Drosophila melanogaster: one gene and its partner. The gene in region 1 interacts genetically with each later gene. Each region holds a gene or a part of one and is shown in the gene's direction. Other genes may lie near its edges.

Region 1 (4,722 bases):
ATAAAAAATCAGTTTATGGCGCGATTGTTGGAACCTTTGGTCAGGCCATTTTGACTTTCGTATAGTTCAATCAAAATCGCGAAGGGTAAAACCAGACTAGCTCAGTCCGCGATTGCATTTCAGCCATGTCGCTTGCACGTTTCCTATTTTATATTCTCGTGTTCAGTTCACTCTACTGTGACTTATTGGCATTGGAGCACTTCATTGTGGGTGGCCAGAATGCAGCTGAAGGAGATGCCCCCTACCAGGTGTCGCTCCAAACTCTTTTGGGTAGTCACCTATGCGGTGGTGCCATCATATCGGACCGATGGATAATTACGGCTGGTCACTGTGTCAAAGGATACCCGACTAGCAGACTTCAAGTGGCCACTGGTACAATTCGCTATGCGGAACCAGGAGCTGTTTATTACCCAGACGCCATCTACCTGCACTGCAACTATGACAGTCCCAAGTACCAGAATGATATTGGCCTGCTCCACCTGAACGAGAGCATTACCTTTAACGCACTAACTCAGGCGGTTGAACTACCCACATCCCCTTTTCCAAGAGGAGCTTCGGAGCTGGTTTTCACCGGATGGGGATCTCAGTCAGCGGCGGGGTCGTTGCCATCGCAGTTGCAGCGTGTCCAGCAGCAACACCTCAACTCCCCGGCTTGCGAGTCCATGATGTCTGCCTACGAGGATCTGGAACTGGGACCTTGCCATATTTGTGCTTATCGTCAGGCAAATATTGGAGCCTGCCACGGAGATTCTGGAGGTCCTCTAGTTCACCAGGGCACCCTGGTGGGCATACTCAACTTCTTTGTACCCTGCGCCCAGGGTGTGCCTGATATATTCATGAATATAATGTACTACCGCGACTGGATGCGACAAACGATGAGTGGCAATGGCAAATGTGCACAGGTCAACCAGCAGACAATAGATGGATAAAAACATTTGAACTCATTAAAGAACCTCAATTCATAATGTAATTCCTTAATGCTGTAAATAATTTATTAATTTATTAAGCCATTTAAACATAAGATAATTCCCAAACTGCCAGCCTTGTATCAAATATCACCAAACATGCACCAAAACCGCATAAAACCCGCACCAAAGCCGCACACAAATCGCCACCAAGCCGCCAAGAAGCCGCTAACAAATCGCGTGCAAGTCGAACTGAAAACGAAGGGCAGGATGTATCCTCTACGGGTCACTCGTAAGGGATCATTCTGTACGGGGCATCCTCTATTTTTTTAATTACTTGGGTTGCTGTAGTTCACTTGTTTTTTGGCGGGAGTGGTGAATTATTTTAATGTTTCTGGAGGCAAGTGATATTCTTGGCCCACAGCCAGGAGTCCGTTCAGTCGGACAGCCGGAATGTCTTAGTGATTCAGCCACCCGCCGTTTTCTGATTTATTTCGGAAGAAGAGAAGTGTCGCACTGGTCACACGTGTCGTCCTGATCTAATTGGTAGCAGGTAGACCCAGACAGACGTGGTCTTAGTCATGATTTGAGTTGTGAGAAAAATTTCGACACAAATCGCTCACGGCGCATGGAAATTCTGAAAATATTTCTATCGGCACTCGCTGTTCAGATGGGGGAAAAACAACCGGGAAAACTCTCAGTTGTGGGCTGTATCTTGGCATTTTGAAAAAGATTTTCAGTTGCTGTATTGACTTGGACGTGTGCGGTGCGGGCCTCGAATTTTCTTGGAATACGCGGCGTATACGCAATCCGTGAGCTATATGTAGACGCGTGTCTTGCTCATATTTTTATATATACAGCAATATATAACAAGTGAAATTTCGCAACTTGTGCAAAGTCGAGGAAAAAATTATGTTAAATCCAGTGAAAATGCCAAAGTATGTGAAATAATTTTCCCAATTAAGGCAAAACGACTTTGCAATGTATTTTACATTCTTACCAAGAGCGATGAATATTGCGCTAAAAGTATACGGCCAAAAAAAAACCGTTCGAATAAATATATTACCAAAAATAAAATAGAATATTTTGTGTTATGTGAATTTCAGTTTGAAATATTGCGTACAAGGCGTTGCCATTTCGTGATATATTCAGACGATGAAAGGCCTCTTTGCTGGATCCCAAAGAAAGAGCCATTAAATGTTCAGTTGTGAGAGCGTAAAGTGCATTTATCTGTCGGGCACCAGATGTTAATAGAGCCTCTGATCTTTATTTAGCCTCAATCGCATGCTCTGCCGCACCTGGGGTATCTGCGGGGTATAGTACCTAAGGGGACCCGGCATATGTATTTCCCAAATGATTTATTTAACTAGGCGTACACGTTTAAGTGATTTTTTAATAGAAGACATAAACCTTTTGTGCACCCTTTAGCAGATTTGTGCAGGGTCCTTGGGTTTTTCCATCACATGGAGACCTGGAAGTTGACGAAGCAACAGGTGCAGATGTTGTAGTATCCTCCCAGTAGGGATACGATGTGGTAGAATCTCCGTACGGAACCCAAGATGATGAGTATGGGTCCCAATAATATCCGGATGACGTAGTTGAGTCAGAGCAATAGCAGCCTGCCAAGACGCAAAACAACGCAAAGATCGTTAAGAACCTCATTTTAGCCGGCATTAATACAAACTAATAAACGATAGATACAATTTTATCAATTATATACTTCTTATCTTATTTATTTTCAATTGTTTAAAGAAATAATACCTTAAAACAGTTGGGCAAATGCCAAATATTCAATAAAAAGCCTAATATTTAACTAATATTTATTTTTCATATTCTATTGCCAAATTAATCACCAGCTGTTGTATCTAAAAATTTTGAAATTTTCAGAAGACTTTGTATGATTCATTTGAAAGCCCACTGTGCCATTGTTTATTATATTCCAATTATTTTCTAAATATCCAAGTAACAGTGCCGAATCGGGAAAAGCTAAATAAAGCGTTGGCACGTGAAATTACTTGACGGCAACGGGGCGTATGCGCAACAAGAGATTTTAACAGCCCAAGCAGCTGTTGAATTAATTCAAACGCCATGAATAATGATGGTCAATAAAAATAAAATTTGTTTAAAAGTACACGCGCTGCGCGTTCACACGGAAATTAAATAGGTTTTGAGAAATGTTAGTACAGAGTTGTTATGAATGGTGTTTCATATCTAAGCATAATTAGATCTTAAAATTCTTACTGGTTTTTTGAAGTTCATAAAAATGGTGACTATAGTTTAGTTTTCTTAATTTTATTTTACGGATTGATTTTGGTAGATCACTTAAGACTTCCTAAAACCCCTTTTAAGCGCCATGATAGCACTGAAATCAGATAATCAGAATAAAATTGTTTGATATATTTAGCGTGCTCTTGCTGCGTTTTATCTTCAAACGAGCATAAACATTCAAGCCAAATAAAATCGAGGAATTTATGACAGCTGATTTGGCCGGAGCTAGTTAGTCATCTCACAAGAATAAACAACATACAACTGTACATATGCTTTTCATTTAAGAGTTCTACGGGTTCTACGATCCCCCGATTTGGGATTCTTTATCAGCGCCTCGTGAGTCAAATGACGGGGAAATGCGGAATGTACTTGGGGCGACCGCCAGAGATGGCCAAAAGCCAATCATTTTTGCAGGAGGCACTTTCAATTGTGACCAGCAGCAGAGAAGATTGAAGCAAAAACATAAAACACAAAAGACGGCAACCAGTTCTATGAAAAGAATAACAACAAAATCAGCTGCGCGTCGAAAATCACATTTGTGATGAGTTGCAGGGGGTGGGGGGGGATTGCGGGGCAAGCGGTGGGTGGGGACTGGGGGGTCTCATGTGGTAGCGTCGCCAAAAACCTGCCAAACAGAGTCAAGAGTGCAGTCGACGTCGACTGCGACTGCGACTGCGACGCCGAGTCAACGTCACACGCAATACCAAAAACACAACACAAAACATGAAGCGAGATAAATATTGAACAAATTATGTATTGAAGACCTTTGACAGACGAGGATGCACTTTTAGAAACTTGTGAGAAATGTATTCATTTATTTAATATGATCTGAAAAAAATAAAAATACAAACCACAATTTTATATTTTATACTATAACTATGATATACATAATAATATTGTATTCTAATTTCATTTCCAACTTGAAATAATAATAGAAAAAATCGAAGGCAAACCTTTGTTATCTGTCAACCAGTAGGAGTGTGTAGAAAGTATCTTTTGGAATTATAACCTATAAGCGTTACCTAATATTTGCTTAGGGAGTTACTTAAGATGATCCCCGTCTGTATGATTTATCTGAGAAAATAATAATAAAGAAATTGAGCAATAAGCGGCGAGCATTTGGCTGCATAAAAACTTTGAGCAAGGAGGCGCACACAACTCAGTCGAGTTGAGAAATTGTCGCGGCCAGTACGAGTACGTGTAGCAAAGAACCCGAAAGCAACGCGCGCATTTCGTGCACACATTTTCAAAACCAAAAGAAAGAAATTCTGAAATTTGTTTACGAAAAAAAACGAAGGATTTGCCAGTCGTGTTTGTGTTGTGTTTTTTTAGAGAGAAACGTGCTCGCCACGCCAGGAATTGTGTAATTAGCGGGCCATCAAGTGTTCAGTATTAAGCACCCCCACTAAAGTATTACAACTCGAGATCATTCGACAGCGATCCCTATCAACCAACAGAAAAACCATCGATATGGCGTCCAGAAAAGTGAGTTTTTTTTTTTGTTGTTTTGTGGGCCTAGGGTGGCCCTTATCCGATCGGCAAACGTTGC
Region 2 (4,582 bases), on another chromosome or scaffold:
AAACAAGAACCAAAAAGAAAGATACAAGGCACAAATACCGAAAGACAAGTAACTCACCACGACGGGGGGTGTCGCCGGAGGTGAAGGTGGATAAACAGGAATTTCTGCCTGTTCTGTTTTGATTTTTCGCTATCTCTCTCTTTCGCTCAGCTGCTTCTGCTTCTTCGGTTTGTTTATGTGTAATCCTTTTGTTTCTTTCGATTTTGGCGCGCAATTTTCCTTTTTTTTATTGCTATTGTTTTAGTTGTTGCTAATTACTAATTTGCAATGCAATTTTTCAAAACACGCGAAGCCGTTTTGTTGTGGCCGTTGTTATTGTTGCGTTGGCCGTGTGATTGCGGTTATAGTTGTCGTTGCGTTGTTGTTGGTTGTTGCTAGTTGCTGTTGTTGCTTTTGCAACTTTTTCACAATTTGCATTTCACGTATTTTTGCAGCAGCTTCGACGACTTTGACTTTGTTGCACAAACACAGGCGGAAAAACGGCCACACACTAACGAACTGAAAACAACAAAACAATCCGAGGAAGCTGCTGGCGTCTCTTTTCCTTCGATTTTTTCCCAAGATTGCCAATCCGATTTTACTGCCTGATTTAGTGTACTTTCGCGAATCTATAGTTATTTCCGCAGCCAGTCATTCAAAAACGAAAATGTAAACGAAACAGTGGGTTTACATTAATATATCATCACATAAATATGGGTTTTTTTGAATCCCAAAAGCATCTCGTGTTACTTAGCGCGACAAATCGGTTTCCGACGTATACTCGTTCGCTGAGATGTTATTCCACAGTGGTATTTAATTTGTTTTTACTCTTCATGCGAGGAAAGCACCGTACGCGCACGCTGCTCAAAACGGAATGAAAACAAGAGCTGTCGCATCGTTTCAGCCGAAAAATACCGAAGCATGCTGAAACTTCGAAAAATACCGCAAGCGAGAAACGATGTTTTTTCATCTATGGCAAGTCGACGTCTATTACCCTTTCGATTAATAGAAATAAAATATTGCATATTTATTGAAGTAACGAAGTTTGTTGCATCCCAGAGTTTTGTTAAGGCATAAATAAAGTTCCATAAGCAATTTAAAGACTATTTAATTAAATTGATTTCTAATTGGCATATGAACGAACATTTATTGGTCGTCCAGTTTAGAGTACATATTTATGTACAAATCGAAGTAAATTTTTTATAATATTAACGCACGGTTTATCAATGGCACAAACCATCAGCGATTCCCAAGCCATCCATTTTTAGCTATGTTATAGCTATAGAAAAAGCAATCACAAGCAAAATTAAAGATAATAAACAATATTAAATTTAAATGGCCTGAGAACAGTGGAATGCATTTTTATGACAGGCTTTCGAACTCCGTACATAAAGTACATTTACCGTACCGACCCAACAAAGAAGTGGCGCCGATAAGCACAATATTTAAAAACCGATAGGCACACGTTATTTGACTTTTTGTCTGCAAAAGCTTTCTCGTTTTAAGGAGCTTTGATTTTGGCATCACCTGCAACAAAAGCGGTTTTCAGTTTAGTTAGCCTCTTTCTCACAAACAAGTCGGTTGTTTTTGCGCTGTTGGAGGAGTGAAATTCTTAGCCGCGCTATTGTTTTTGTTGTTTGCGTGGCGTTGTGTTTATAACAATAACAACAAGTGATTATCACTGGAAGACATGTTCTGTTCAAGTAGCTAAGCATATGGCTGGCTAAGAAAAAAAACACAAGGGTTATAACCCTTTTTTGGCCGAAATACGAGACTGTCCTCCGGGGTTACTTCATTCGGTCTGTTATTTTGGCCACCTCCCAGTTCCTTCAAAATGGTTCGGTGGAGCGCGCGGTCGCGGCGCCAAGCTCGCCAGGATAAAGTGGAGCTATTGGCCAGAAACAACAAAGTGAATGGCGAGGACGATACCTCCGATAACGGTACGTGCCAGGGGTGTCCTCAAAAGGAGAATTTTAAGCGAAGTTCATACGAAATTCCAAACTATCATTTTATTGTTGTTTCTTTTTCCTTTAAGGCTCTGTTAATAAAGTTTTAATTTTGAAGATTTCAGTTGTTTAAATAGTTAAAAGATTTACAAACTAAATATTTCAATTCATATTCAAAAAGTGAAACGAGACAAGAGTTATGTTGCATTTCAGTAAGCCTGCTTGAAGTAAATATAATGATTTGTACTCATAGCTAAGAATAATCTGAAACCTGTTTGAAGATATGCGGTCTTTAAATGTATTTACAATAAATCGATAACAAAGAATATGATTATAAAACGAAAAATCAGATGCATGTATATCTAAATATTTCCCTCTAGAATTCCATCATTGTATGAATTGTATGAATTGAAAAGGGTAGCATTAAGCTGCCAAAACGAATGTCATTTCATCTGTTTCCGATTGTCATTTAACGACTGCGATTAATCTAAAACACTTTCGCTCCGTTTTAGCCGCCTTTCGCAACTCGACTGACCTATCCGACCACGATGAGATCTTCCTCAAGGGATTGCTGCGTAGTAACTCCAACACGCCCCACAAGGAACTGATGGCAAGTAGACCAGAACATATAAACGTAAAAAGGCGAGAGAAAATATCTCTGTACAATTTCTGACCCACTTAAACGCCTTCGAGCATCTGCTCAATAAGAAAATTGCGCATACGGTTTTCCACCCATTTTCCATACCCAGCCACACACACGCACACACTTTCCACATTTGTGTTTACTTCATCGATGGCATTGCATGCTGATTTTTCGGTCTAGATAGAATTTTCCGGGCTGCTTGTATGTGCGTGTGTTTGCTTTTCTTATTACATCATTTTCCTTGCCTCCACAAGCGCCAAAAAGAAAAGAAAATCCTTCTGTATTTTAAAAGATTTTCTCGCTTTAGCCATGCACTGCAATTGTTTTTTTTTTTTTTTTTGACTTCGTAATGGCCCATTAGCACTTGCTATTTTATTTTTGCCTTCCTCTTTTGAGTTTTCGCACTAAACTTGACCTCTATTGCCTCGGCAGATGAGTTGCCTTTATGCAGATGGGAGGCATTTTATTAGATCATCGTGACATAACCATTGAAGTGGAAATTATCTTGACCCGACACATTTAGCGCCTCCTCGAAGGTTTCTTACGGTAAAAGAACTGCCAAAAAGTTTGTAGCCTAATCAAATTGTAAATATTATTTGCTGTTCCTGCGGCAAACACGCAGGTCAACTAGAAAAACAATGAGAGGCAGTTACAACCAAAATTAAAACGAATTTGTTGTGCTCTGTATACAAGAAAAATAACAAAATATTTTAATTAATTTTTAAAAATTAATTTTCAAAATTGAAGATGCCCTTTCTAAGATGTAAAGTTATTCTGTTGGCGAATAATAAAGAAGTGGGGAATTAAATAGTATGTAAAAAATAGGCGTAAAACAATGATTATTAAGACCCAAACTAGCAGTACGGAAAAGCCAAATACAACAAATATTATGGAAAGCGACATCGTGTGACGACGACCATAATTAGAATCCAACATTTTCCGAGGCATTTTCCTGGGCAGGCTCATTCGTTTGTGGTTTTCTGCTGTGGTCGGCGGCTGTTGAGAAAGGCAGTGAAAGTAATTAAGCCACGAGTCACGAGATAAGAAAATATGAAATGTCACTACCAGCTCCCCTGTTTTCCTTTCCCCAACTCGCCTGTCGTCACCGCTCCTTGGAACACTCCCCCATTTTATGCAGATTACATAAAACTCGACGCAAGTCGCCGTGCCAACTCTTTGACATCAACGCCCCAAAGAAGTTGTGTGTATTTGAGTGTGAATAAGGAAACCGGTTTGGAAACATTTTCCAACGTAAACACTACGCTTTTTATGCTACCTGCGCTCGAAAACGATGCACAAAAAGCGCCCAGCTCGTTGGCCTACTAATGCAGCTGTGGTCGGGAGATCGAAAAAGCTTGCTATAAGATGCTGTTAAGATCACTGAAGTAGTTGGTAAAAACATTGCAAAGCATGTTATAGCCAAACTTACTTATTTAAGGTTCTGTTTTACTGAACAAAGTATAAAGCTAGTTAAATAAATATGTTTCAGCAACATTTGAATTATAATATTTGGAAAGCTAAGATCAGATTATTTAATTTCAGTATAACATTTAACAGAACATTTTAATGTTGGTTATTGTTATATTTTAGATATACCCCAAGTATGTACATATTTGTATTTTAAAAAGTTTTCTACAGTTTCAAATGGTTTTCATTAACAGAAAGAGAGGGCGCGTCACTGCTGGTTTTAAGTCACTGTTAAGTACAAGCTAACATGTGGATAACAGACTGCGTACAGTTGTAACTTGGCTCACGCGGAGCTTTTTTCACGGCAAGCCAGCGGCAAGCGAACTGAGCAGCAAACAAAGCTAGCCCTAACTTGCTCACTAGCTCTCGCCGCTTGCTTCCATAGCTCGTGAGTCAGTTAGTTGCGAACAGTGCTAAGGTGAGGTTCACATTCCGGTTTGAAACGCGCGCTTCGTTGGTTTCGGCCCATTCGAATGAGTGAGCATTGGTGCCTGACTGTAGTATAGGTGTTTTCACGGTGGTGTTTGTGAGCGTGGCTTAAACGGGC

What was found. Genes that interact genetically often act in the same process or in processes that back each other up.
Region 2: of cher (region 1) and vari, changing one enhances a phenotype caused by changing the other (phenotypic enhancement), as found in Drosophila melanogaster (one study listed by BioGRID).

The regions. Positions count from the first base shown.
Region 1 is NT_033777.3:17,122,334-17,127,055, reverse strand, and holds the start of cher (cheerio), read left to right. Parts: upstream 1-1,666; 5' UTR 1,667-1,817; coding exon 1,818-1,843; intron 1,844-2,269; exon of another isoform or gene 2,270-2,297; coding exon of another isoform or gene 2,298-2,567; exon of another isoform or gene 2,568-2,579; intron 2,580-4,373; exon of another isoform or gene 4,374-4,643; coding exon of another isoform or gene 4,644-4,658; intron 4,659-4,722. Other genes in the region: CG17477 (uncharacterized protein), read left to right, coding at 126-929; CG45079 (uncharacterized protein), read right to left, coding at 2,298-2,567. UniProt on the Drosophila melanogaster protein: Involved in the germline ring canal formation. May tether actin microfilament within the ovarian ring canal to the cell membrane. Contributes to actin microfilaments organization.
Region 2 is NT_033779.5:20,793,990-20,798,571, reverse strand, and holds the start of vari (varicose), read left to right. Parts: upstream 1-1,529; 5' UTR 1,530-1,813; coding exon 1,814-1,919; intron 1,920-2,437; coding exon 2,438-2,535; intron 2,536-3,316; exon of another isoform or gene 3,317-3,564; intron 3,565-3,633; exon of another isoform or gene 3,634-3,766; intron 3,767-4,425; exon of another isoform or gene 4,426-4,512; intron 4,513-4,582.